2 linked regions of the Drosophila melanogaster genome follow. The protein of the gene in region 1 purifies or fractionates together with the protein of each later gene. This does not show direct contact. Each region holds a gene or a part of one and is shown in the gene's direction. Other genes may lie near its edges.

Region 1 (7,387 bases):
AGCGCCAGCGCAGGCGCATTTTTCCCAAATAGTTATAAACAATGCAGAAAATGCGGAGAGCGAGCAAGAGAGACAGAGCGCGCGAGTGAGTGAGAGAGCGAGCGAAGTTGCAGTTGTCTCAAGAAAAGTTGGCTGCCGAAGCTTTCGCTGCTACATTTTTAATGGCCACAATGTCCTTGGCTGCCTGCAGGGTGAGTTGGGTGCCAAAGAAAAGCAGCGTAGGGGGGGGGGGTGTTGCTGGCTAGCAGCGCAGTCGGCGTCGTGCATTTACTTACTTACTTTCACTTTCCGCCGACACCGAAGGCGAAAAAGTTGAGGGACAGTACCACCACCGCCATCCATCTATAAAGGCAGCCCCCACTTGCTGCTTGCATATAATGTACTTGGCGGCTTCCTTGGCTTTTTTGTTTTGGAAAAACTTTTGCCCCAGAGCTTTTGCATTTTGTTGTTGCTGTGCGCGTTTCTTGAAAGTTTATTTTTGACAGAGTTTTATGTGCCTGGCGGGCGATGGCAGGCAGGCAGGCAGGCAGGACACCAGAACAGGACACTGCAATCGAGGGTCGAGCAAAACGCCGAGGGAGCCGCCTGCCCGCCCAAGGAAAATGACAAAATAATGTAATTTGGGCCCGTAGATTTATGCGTGCTGCGCCTTCGCAAGAGGAACGGCGTCCTCCGTCGGTTGGGGAAAACGCAACGTAGTCGTTTCCTTTTTATTCCCCTGCCTTTCCTCCAGGATGCTTCCTGCTGCGCGTGCCACACGACTTTGCCCGCTGCTCCTCGCGTTTCCTTGTTTTTTTTTGTTCATTTAAGCCGCTTGGTCGAATTTAGGGCAGGTTTCACTCGCGCTTAAACCCACAATAAAAACGTATCCTGCCTTCGGAACTTTGGTCTTTCTACTTAGCCAGCGGCAGCGCGAGAAGTGTTGACAAACTTTCAAGCCGAGAAGAAGATAAAAAGGATATAGATGGGACTGGCCATATGGGCAGGGATCGGAAGTGGATACGGATATAAGCTTATAGCGTTAAATTAATTCAAAGAAATCGGTTTAAAATTATTACTAATGAACTCCTCCTATAAATGCTATACCATTTATAAAAATTTAACTAAAAACATAGGCAATAATCTATTGGGCAAATACCAATGCCATTTAAATATGAAAATACCTTTCCATCTACCAAGAAAGGTGATGGATTGCTCAAAATATCCGATGAAGGATCATTACCCCCACGCCAGAGAGCAATTTCCTTCGGCCAATAATAAAATATGAAAACAAAGCACTGGCCATTGTCATGGTCACCTAATCCGACTGGCCAAAAATGGGCGACTTGAGCCTCTTCTTTTGTCCGAGAAACGGAAGCCGTAGGCTCGAAAGTAATCATTTCAAATGCAAAACCAGGCCGGCGAGGATGCGGGCAAGGAAGTCGGCAAGATGGGCCCATAAATGACCGCCAGCTGTGCCAAATTCTCGGATCCAAGCACCGCTGCACATGCGGCAGTCCTCCGCAATTTCCAGAGCTCCTGGCGGCTCCTTCGCCTCGCTGATGCTGCACAGATGATTCTGTTCATTTAATTTTCGTTTTTGTAAATGGTTAAAGTCAGCGCAGGGAAGGGGTATGGCATGGCTGGATAGCAGTATAGCAGGATATCAGGATAGCAGTGGGCGTGGCGGCGCCTCCGCATCTGTCAGTCAGCCAGGGAACCTCAGAAACTTTTGCCTGCCACGCACAATTTTCCACTTTCAACTTTTCCAAGGGGTGGCGACCCACTCTGGGTGGGCTCAGCTTTATGCTTGGCTGATGTTGCGATAAGCAGGCCATGTCGTCGCCTACACGGCTAAAAGTATTTGAAAATAAACAATATATGACACACACCATTCATAATTCCCAAATAGGGTATAGCTTAAAAGTTAATAATAACTAAGCTAAACTTTAGGAAATGTAAATATCTCAATTATAAAGCTAAACAATACTTTTTCGAGTGTATTTCGGCTCTTGCTACTGCTGTGCTGATGTTGTTGCTGCCGCAGCCGCAACGCTGCACACGCCGCACAGAAATGGTTGAAAAGGGGGTGGAGTGTGCGGCAAGAAGCGTGGCAGGGAGTGGTAAGGGGGGTAAGGGGGGGCTGCCCTGGGGCAGGGTTGAAACTTTGTTGTTGCTACTGCTGCTGTTGTAGTTGGCGCCAGTTTCCCATGTAAAAGTTGCTGAAAAGTGTAACGCAGTCGAAGCTTGACAAGAGTTAAGTCTGAGTGGGGATGCGGTCGAGTTTTGAAGTTGGAGGCGTTGTGGTGGCTGGAAAATTCGGTGGGTGGATGCGCAAAATCCAGGGAAAGGGCAGATGCCATTGCCACGTCGCCTACGCGGCATAGTTTCAACTTTTCAGGCCTCTACACTGTCAGAAATTGATATGTCAAATATTGGAACATAACAAGTGGTTACTGTTTGTGTCCTAGATATTAAAATGCATAATAAATAAATAAATCTCATTTCCGCACAAAAAAACGTCTGTTATTTTGTGTAAATGTAGAGTATCCCCTTGTTCATATCCCAACTACATTATGAAGTTTGTTTTTGGCCAAATTTTACGCACTTTTCCGTAGGAACCCATTTTGTATGTGTGCGTGTTTTGGGCCAAGTACATAGAGGCGCCGTTATGTGCGCAGATTTTCCTCCTCCGGCTGGGAAATAGATGAACACATCGCAGCGGAGCGAGGAGTGGAGCACTTTCGGGCCCACTTTCACTTGCCACCTAGCCAGTGAAAGGAGGAGGGGAGTGGGTGGCAGCAAAGTTTCGACATCAAAAAGAACTACTTTCGATAATCACAGGACTGGCGCCAGAGGAATTACATTTCAGCCGGCTGCGGGAGAGTTTTCCCCGCTGCCACGGCCGCTTTTTTGGTTTTAAAGTTTGGCCAAATTTCGGGCGGCAAACTTTTATGCGCATAACAAATTCCCCTACATCGGCTGTTTTTTATGCAGTTTTTATTGCCATTTTATGCGTTGGATGAGATCAGCCGAGGCATATCTCCAATTCAGGAGCTACGCTTATTAATTAAGCTGAGAGAAACTACCCCGAAGAAAATAGGCAACATCCAGCAAAGTCCAATCAATGACATCATAATGATGCTGCCCGGGGGAAAATGGAAAAGTGCAGTGGAAAAACTGGATAGTGAAAGTCCGGTGGTTGGACCTCGTCTTTTGTTCTCCACTCGGTGGTGCGTTGACCAACCGGTTTGCCATGGAAACCCCTTTTCATCCGGGCTAAATCTATGCCACTGCAGTTTCCAATTGAAAAGAAAGGTAGTTTTCACTTGAATGAAAAGGTCGAAGGGTGGAAACTGAGCCTCCTTTTCACCTTTCGAAGGAAAACGAAAGGGGATGAAGGATTGAACGGCAAGGTGAAACAAATGCAATTTAATTCGACGCAGGATTATCATTTCAACATGAAATGCATATCAATTTAAATTAAAGTAAAAGCTTTTATGCACTGCGGGGTGGTTTAACGAGCTACAATATCATTTGTTCCAAAAATTATTTGAAATTCTATTCACCTATTTAAAAAACCGTTACTGGGCTGTAATAGCGGCCAGCTCCTGACAGTGAGCAATCGTAGTGGCAACTCTGAGAATGCAAATAGCTGGCAGCACTATACACTAATATATACTAGTATATTGTGGTATTTTTTGCAGGTTACCTGGTATTTCTCACCCACTTGAGTGCGGTCACACTGGTTCTCAGACGAAAACGACAAACGTCGAAATTTTCGTGATCATTTAATTTGATAGGGAAACATACAAAATGATGAACGCCGTGTCGCGTGCTTACGTCAGAGGCGGAGCCCAGGTCCTCTCCACGGGATTGAAGGCGAGCGGCGTGGCCGTCAACTCGATGGGTAAGGCTCTGCGAGGCGAATTCATCGAGCTGCCAGCTGAAAACACAGCCATTACATAATGAATGGATCGGGAAATAGGCGGAAAAAGTTGAATAAAAGCTTGGAAATGCCACCAGGACGTGATTTGCACTCGGCTTTAAGGCGATTTGTCAAATTTCCTTACGTAATTTCAACATAACCTCGTACAATAACAACAATCACTGGCTCACAAGCACACCTGCAATTTACATCGGATCTGTGGGATATACTCAATCGATTTCTGCCAAACGTGGGATTTACTACCTCTGGGACCAGGAATATCATCATGCGAAGTTTGGCACCTCTGTCTGCAAGGGACGCCAAGTTATGCCAAGTTGGCCCAAGATGCCCTGTGTCGGCTATAAGAAATATACCTTCAGCCTTGACAACCCCAAAACAATGTTGTTTACACTCTTCACTGCCCACCACACAAAAAATTTATGATTATATCAGCAACACTGCTCTGCAAACAAGCACAAGGATCTATAGAACCTCTGCACTTCGATCAATGGATAATTAATGATTCCCTCCTTCCTTTCAGCCAATCGCCAGGCACACACCGACCTGCAGGTGCCAGACTTCTCGGCATACCGCCGGGAGTCCGTGAAGGACAGTCGTCGTCGCAACGACACCGCCGAGGAGCGCAAGGCCTTCTCCTACTTGATGGTCGGCGCCGGAGCCGTGGGCGGTGCCTATGCGGCCAAGGGCCTGGTTAACACCTTCATCGGATCGATGAGCGCCTCCGCCGAAGTGCTGGCCATGGCCAAGATCGAGATCAAGCTGTCCGACATCCCGGAGGGCAAGTCGGTTACTTTCAAGTGGCGCGGAAAGCCCCTGTTCATCCGCCACCGCACGGCCGCGGAAATCGAGACCGAGCGAAATGTGCCCACATCCACGCTGCGCGATCCGGAGGCTGATGATGTAGGTACCGTGGAGTGGGTCGATTCGCTAATGCTGTTACCCATTTCCTCTTTAGCAACGTGTGATCAAGCCCGAGTGGCTGGTGGTCATCGGAGTGTGCACGCATCTGGGCTGTGTGCCCATCGCGAACGCCGGCGACTGGGGTGGCTACTACTGCCCCTGCCACGGCTCCCACTACGACGCCTCCGGAAGGATCCGCAAGGGACCCGCGCCCCTCAACTTGGAGGTGCCCACCCACGAGTTCCCCAACGAGGGTCTTCTCGTGGTCGGCTAGAGGAGCTGTTATCGTTTAAGCCCCCAACTGCATAGTGAATGGATCGATGTAAATTAATAAATACAACCAAACAGAACGACCGAGCATAAACGAGCAATTCATTCGAACTGAGGAGGAATAAATGTGAAGGGCTTAAATCCAGCAGCCTAAATCCAGCTTACTTGTTAAAATGTAGACGAATCTTTAGAAGTTTGACAGACATTATTAAATCTTTTGAAGATGTAATTGTTTGCTTCTGGTTTCAAAAATCAAGGAGTGTACATGAGTTTCTTTCGATAATCTTTTGTTTAACTAGGACTATAGTAATTACTGAAGAGCACTGACATTATGAAGACAAGAATAAATTAACTTATCCTAGCTAGCAATTCCTTAGGATGAAGCCTTGCTTTGCGCGACTTTGCGTCGTTTTTCGAGTATTTCCGCTTCGAGAAGTTCGTTTTTCAGGCGCATATTGCGCAGCTCCACCTTTCGCTGCTCCAGCTCGTATTTCTGCTTCTCCATCTCAAGCTTGTGCTTCTCGGCTGCCCGGGCGTTTTCGCATCGATAGTACTCCTGTTGCAGCCTGATCAGAACGACTTTTTCATCCTTCAGGGTATTCGTGGCATCCTCTTCTGAGCTCACATCGACTGACTCTTCATTTACATTCAGAGCTGAGTAGTTTGGTCTGTCAACTGAGTAGCTTGAGTTATTCGGCACGAGCTTGACTTCGGTAGAGGCGCTTCTGAGGCTTTTTCGGTTCAATTCCGATTCGAAATAGGTACTACCTGCAAGATGTTTTTAGAGTTTATTAGAGATAAAGCACTGAAATATTGCTGTAGAAGAACCTATCATGGTAAGACTATTAAGGTACATCTTGTCAACTACCACGTTCATGCTTTTGATCCTGCCATCCTTTACTCACTTTCTTCATTATCAGCAGCTGCAGCCAGCGAAGAAACTCCCGAAATGGACAAATTCTGCACCGAATCTGATGCATTGTCAGTCTTTGCCTCCTCGTCACTCAGTGTTCCGTTCTTTCGCATCATCCGCAGGTTGTTGGTGTACTTCTCTCGCAGAGCCTGCCAAGAACGCTCTATTCCGGTCTGAATGGCGAAGTCCGCCTCAATTTGCTTCCACGCCTCCGATTTCTTCCTCCAAATGGCCGGATCCTTCTGCTTGTTGCGGATCACGTCGCGATGCGCCAGGATCAGGTTCTCCAGGATCTCCTCCTCCTCAATGGTGAAGTTCTTCGCACGGGCCCTTACTCGCTTAGCCGCAAACATTGCGTATGTAATTAAATTTCCCTTCGCAAAGACAAAATTAAAAATTTGGTAAACAAAAAGCTGTTTGGTTGCGAGTCGTGAGTTGCCAGATCTTTTGATGTTAAGCAGGGATGGATGACAAGAAAAGTTTCAAATTCGGCGGTCCGTTTAGAAAAATACTAAGCTCCGTTAGTTCAAAATAATTAATGAATTACTGGAGCGCACTTGCCAACTTAAAAGACCAATTTCAAGCTACTTATATAAATAGGTGGTCCTTAAGTTATTTTTAAGTTTAAATAAATAACAAAAATTTGGTTCCTTTCCAACACTCTTTCCGATGGCAGCCCTAACCATCAGCTGATATGGCCGATCACAACGCTCTGGCAACGCTGTCCATTGTTGTCTACGATTTTAGTTTGTTGTCCTTTGTTTATTTACGCCTTTAAATTCCTGTAAAATGGCCGAAGAAATCGACGATAACGAGTTTTACCGGGAGAACTTCAGTGCGGATTCCGACTGGGAGGTGTTCAACGCCCAGCTGGGCGAAATCCTTCAAAAATGGGACGTATCGTCGGATTCCGAGACCAGAAATCTTAAATCCGAAGAAATCTTCAGCTGCAATTGGAAGGTGGAGCGGGAGAAGCTGGACATGTTGAGGAATGGCATTGAGGTGGAGTATCACCAGGCCATACTGGAGGATGAGGAACTCGTCAGAGCGGAGGCGAAGGAGATCACCTGCCTGCAACGCACCAGTTGCCACCATGATCTCATGTCCACTGGGAATAGCTTTGGTCCTCCAATAAGAAGCTCACAGGAGCTGCACATTCTGGCCAGGATCTACGGGCTAAGGAGGTTCATTGTCCTGCACCCCGTGAATCCAACTCTGAACTACATGAGGTCCACCTCGGAGTTCAACTTCTTCCTGAGCGCCGTCGCCGTTGTGTCTGCCGAAGTTCAGAGCTTAGTGCCCATCTTCGTCCAGATCTACGATCCCAAATGGAACTACTATACGGGCGTGGCCCTGGCTCCTGCTCTGAGAACCAA
Region 2 (5,202 bases), on another chromosome or scaffold:
AATATGGCCCAGTTCTGGCACAACACTACGATTGTGCAGTCGGATGGGGACAATCTGCGGCATGGAGCTTTTGGTTAGCATACGAGGTGTTTGTTGGAGGAATATTTCTTAATACTGTTTCCTTGCAGCTGGTAACTATAGTTCGCTGAGCTTTACGGTCAATCTGAAGCGAGAAATTGGCTTCTATTTGCTCGACTATTACCTGCCCTCCATGATGATCGTGGCCATCTCTTGGGTGTCCTTCTGGCTTCAGGCGGACGCATCTCCTCCAAGGATTATGCTGGGTAATTACATTTAAATACTATTAACTTAAGCAACATTTCGTATTCGAAATCCATAATTAATTTGTTGACCTGCAACACAGTGCGTATGTGTTATATTCATTTAGAACATTGCGCATACGTCATGTTGAGTCATAGAATAAATGATTGCTTAAATTAAAGGAATAATTACAACATCTTAGAAAGAATTTAGTAACTCGAAATGATTATGATATGACTCACTTGTAACTAATATCCAATGCTCTTAGGAACCAGCACCATGTTGTCGTTCATCACGCTTTCCTCATCGCAGAGCAAGAACCTGCCCAAGGTGAGCTACATAAAGGTGTCGGAGGTGTGGTTCCTGGGCTGCACCTTCTTCATCTTCGGCAGCCTGGTGGAGTTTGCCTTTGTCAACACCATTTGGCGCCGCAAGGAGAACATTGAGCTGAAGAAGGTCAACAGCAAGTACATCATAAAATCCACATTGACACCACGACCGGCCCGCCGTCAAATTGGCGGAAGTTTGAGCAACGAGTCCAGGGCTAGATCGTGTTCCAGTTTGGACAACATTGTTTCCAGCACGGAGAGCGTGCGCAATGGCAATGGCACTGTGAATCAGGGCTTCAACAACTATTTGACAGTGCATGTAAGTACTCCAGATCGATGTCTTTCATGAGCTTTCTGTATTTTAACATTTCTCATGTCCTTAGCCCAATTTACCCATCATAAGAACGGAGTGCGCCGAGGCAGATACAGTGTCTATCTGCAGTGCGCGTACGAACAACGATCATATCGTGGATGTGGACAAGGATAAAAAGGACACGCCGCCCACCTTTACCACCATGACACCGCAGGAGATCGCCATGTGGATAGACCGGCGGTCGCGATTTCTTTTTCCGGCCATGTTCCTCGCCTTCAACGCTCTGTATTGGACCTTCGTCTATGTTTTGTAAGCGGATGTAGGCAGATGCCGCCGTTTATGTGAAATCTTGTCTATTTGCGTAGTCCTGATCGCGCAAATAATTGTTAAAGTGTAAGATGCATCATCTCATAGCTGTATAAATGTTAATCATTAATAAAGGTATAAACTATATCTCAACATTCGTATAAAAGGCTAATAATGGCAGGAAAAGTATTCTTGCTTGACAACTCATTTTAATCTAATGCATTTTGAATACAATAAAATTATTTATATGATATTTTACATATATTGAGATGAATGTGCCATCTTTAGTGGGCAAGTTTGAATACTTTGTATGCCTAATCACAGAAAATGAAGTTAAAAAGATAAGTAGCCCTCGATTTTACAATTCCATGTGTCTATTCTGTCTATTAATTTGAATAAATATAATCTTTTCGTTCACGAAATTTAAGTTTTTAAGCCGCTCACATATTTTATTACGGCAAAGGTAAGCAATTATGTTTTACATTATTTTATTGTTATATTTTAATAAGAATCCACTAATAGTTTAAAGATCCGCTATCCACACAAATTAGGTTCAAGTCCACGCTGAAAGTCTACAAAGTTACACATTCTGGTGGTGGCCTGCACTTAGCTTCTGTCCAAGACATCAATCTTAAAAAGCGGCACTTTTAGGACATTTTTCAAAAATAAAGCCTAACTGCTTGGTATGTTCAAGCGGCCCGTCCACGGTCACACTGGTTGAGACGAGTCGAGAGGAAATTGCAGCGTAAAAGTCGAATTTCAAGGTAAAAATTTGGCATCATAATCGGTACAATGGCAGGTGCTGGCTCTAAAAATATGCACAATTATGGGCTGCCAAAAGTGCAGAGATCGCGCCCAGTGTTAGACGTACTCGGCCGCCTTCATCCGCGGAGCAGTGCGAAAATTACATAACCTCCGGGTGCAGCAAATATAGGAGCACCACCTAGGCCATAATGTTTATAATAACGATCTGTGTCTTCATACAAATCCTGGTGCACTTCCTCTGCGGTTGCTAATCAAAGCTTTCCCCATCCGCAGCCCCACAACCATGCGTCTATCCTCGATCCTGAATGGCCAGCATTTTGGCAACTTGGCCAAGGTGCACGGCATCGTCACCTACAAGCTGTCGCCCTTCGAGCAGCGCGCCTTCGCTGGAGCGATCAGCAAGGGACTGCCCAACATGGTGCGTCGCTTCCGCTCCAACGTCTTCATCGTTACTCCCCGTAAGTAAATCGCTCAGGATTCCCGTCGAATCGTATTCTAATACCCAATTTTTCAGCCTTCATCGTGGGATACCTGATCTACGATCTGACCGAACGCAAGCACACCGCCCTGCTGCGCAAGAACCCCGCTGACTACGCGAACGACGAATAAGCGTCCCAACTAGCAGATAGTTATGTTAAACTAATTAATAAAACTAAACCCACAGTTCAAGAGAGTTGTGTGTTTCGGTTGCTGGAAGGCTAAACACCAAAGGCTTTGTACTCATACGTTACACATGGGATAATTTTATGTTCTATTTTATCAGTTTTATTGCTCTGTTTGCTAAACAATTCTAGAGAGAATTTGTTTTTCTGGATGAGCAGCTGCATCAGCTGTTCCCCAGTCTTGGTTTGAGTCCAAGCTATCTCGCCCTGCAATGTCTCAAAATAAAATAACAAAAAATTCATATGATGAGAATTTCAAAGAAAAAACACGACATGGAGGCAATATATTACGTTTTAATAATAAAATAAAAATTTTACTTGTTTTTAATATTCGGTAACGGTCTTAGCATTGATAGTCACCCGCTAGAGTTGCAGAGAATCAATCATCGAAAGTCACCCGAAACAATCGATGAGTGAGAAAAGTAAATAGCCCCACCTCTAGCCACCGCACAGCTGTTTGCAAGCAAAATATTGGCGTTCTAATTGGTTATTGATCCGATATTAGTGCATTAATGGACTGCTGCGGTAACGAAGTGCGCAGCGAAAGTATCCACAACATGCTACAGGCCCTGGTGGACTCAAAGGTGGTCAACGTGCAGCTTTTGTCGATTGCCGTGGGCATTTTCTTCGTGGTCATGCTGCTGAAAAACAATTTTCGCAGCTTTTCTGTCACGTAGATGGATCCAGTTTAGTGTTTAATATATCTCATAATGTAATGTACGCTAAGGATTAATAATAACTACCACAAGCCACCTTGCATCTTGTTTCAGTTCTATGGTTTTTGGAGCACTCCTCGAGGCAGTGACGTCACGTACATTATATGTGTAATATTTTGGGTGCTAGAACGTACTCGTGCTTTTTTCGGTCTCAGGGTCATCGTGTTATTTCGTAGGTGTTTGCACAACAACACGCCCAACCCCAAAAATATAATTGTTTTCGAAGGCCGGGTGAACTGGTTTGACTGCCCCCGAGACTTCCACGGATCGTGCAAAAAAAAAGAAGAAAAAAATAGAGCCCAGAATTTGTTAATTTCATCATCAGGCGACTGTGATTCTTGGCAAGCTGTCTTGCGATAAGATAGGTTATTCGAATACTCGAAGTAAGTCCTACTTGGAACAGGCATTCTCATCCAAAAACTGTTGAACTTTTGCCCCAATTGCCGGAGTAGAAGCCATATCCAATCACACTCAATTGCTATCCACAAACGATTCCAATTGACCGGCGATTGATTGCCCAATGTCTGCACGCACTTCCTGGTGCAGCATTAGAATTCAATAGACGCCCGACTTCAGCTGGCTCCATTCTGCAATCCCGTACTGACTCATTGCCCGGCACTTTCAGAATTTATGCAATACTGCGGTACGTGCTCTTATGCTAAAATATTGCATTAGAACACCCAGCGAACGTGACTTGATTGCAGGGCTAGAAATAGCAGCACTACCTTTAAGCCCTCGGATAAGCCACTGAGACAAGTCTACCTATTCTTCTGATTAGTGTTGCTTATACGAACATGAAGGATCCCATAAATATTCTTAAACATCAACTGATAGTCCTGCAACTGTCTAATCCTTCATATAGCCTGAAAATCTACCTAACTTCACAGCTTACTAATATAAACAAAAAAGTTACATCTTTAGTAGTTTATTATTAGTTTATAATAATCAGAGAACATATGCATTTCTTAGAAATTTCCGTGAATAAATGACCATTATTACAAGCACAACTTACGCATTAAACAATAATAATTGATTGATTAATACATATTCATATGTATTAATTACATCATCGGATCATTCAAACTTTCCCAACAAATGCAGTTAAGCTATTGCTTACCACACAAAATAAATCAAAATAAAGCCATCCATTAAGCCGGATCATTAACCCGATTCCATACTGCTGAATGGATAATCCAGCAGCTTGTCAATGAACTTGTAAATCGGGAGTTCCAGGAACTCCGACGCCCGTCGAAAACGAAGTGCTGACTGAAGTTCCGTTTGGTTAGTTTAATCATTTACTGTTCATAAGAGATCTATATATGTATGTACATAACAATTTTTACAGAGATATTCGGTTACAGAAGAAATTTTGTAAAAAGCTTATCTAAAAACCATAAATTTGAATATCCATCAGATAATGGGTACGAAATCAGATCATCCCTCGACAGTTGACTGTTGCTGGTTACTTAACTTATTTTTCAGCGCAGAGGAGAGGCAGTCCAAGTTATGGGATCGAATTTTTGAAGACCTGGGATTCGCCTCAAAACTTGGTGGCTTATCAGAGCCCGCCGAGCTGGAATCTTCCTTATCGCCTTCGCCAAATTTCCGTTTCTTGCGATGCTTTATTTGATCACTCGGCTTGGGCATTGGTAGCTGTTCGGAAGGGATCGATCTGACATCAGCTTTATCGTCATGGTTGTTGTGAATCTTCTGATGGCGCGTTTTTTTAACTTTCTTCTTCTGGAGACTTGCCATGATACTTATCATTTCCTCCTGCTGGGCTTCGTACCTGGAGATGATGGCGTTCCGGCGCTCCAGCTTGGCGGTGAGGAAACCGACTTGGTTCTTGA

The links. Proteins that work in one complex are often made in the same cells at the same time.
Region 2: the proteins of RFeSP (region 1) and UQCR-Q fractionate together in Drosophila melanogaster (co-fractionation; one study listed by BioGRID). This does not show direct contact.

What each region holds. Positions count from the first base shown.
Region 1 is NT_033779.5:1,610,485-1,617,871, reverse strand, and holds RFeSP (rieske iron-sulfur protein), read left to right. Parts: upstream 1-3,711; 5' UTR 3,712-3,795; coding exon 3,796-3,889; intron 3,890-4,448; coding exon 4,449-4,828; intron 4,829-4,883; coding exon 4,884-5,102; 3' UTR 5,103-5,443; downstream 5,444-7,387. Other genes in the region: CG14352 (uncharacterized protein), read right to left, coding at 5,472-5,866, 6,004-6,364; Rab3GAP1 (RAB3 GTPase activating protein subunit 1), read left to right, coding at 6,801-7,387.
Region 2 is NT_037436.4:17,473,163-17,478,364, forward strand, and holds UQCR-Q (Ubiquinol-cytochrome c reductase ubiquinone-binding protein), read left to right. Parts: upstream 1-1,886; 5' UTR 1,887-1,973; intron 1,974-2,057; exon of another isoform or gene 2,058-2,162; coding exon of another isoform or gene 2,163-2,225; exon of another isoform or gene 2,226-2,247; 5' UTR 2,248-2,257; coding exon 2,258-2,432; intron 2,433-2,488; coding exon 2,489-2,583; 3' UTR 2,584-2,962; downstream 2,963-5,202. Other genes in the region: SecCl (secretory chloride channel), read left to right, coding at 1-73, 129-284, 530-909, 974-1,216; CG46525 (uncharacterized protein), read left to right, coding at 2,163-2,225; CG34250 (uncharacterized protein), read left to right, coding at 3,149-3,309, 3,407-3,464; CG13733 (uncharacterized protein), read right to left, coding at 4,787-5,202.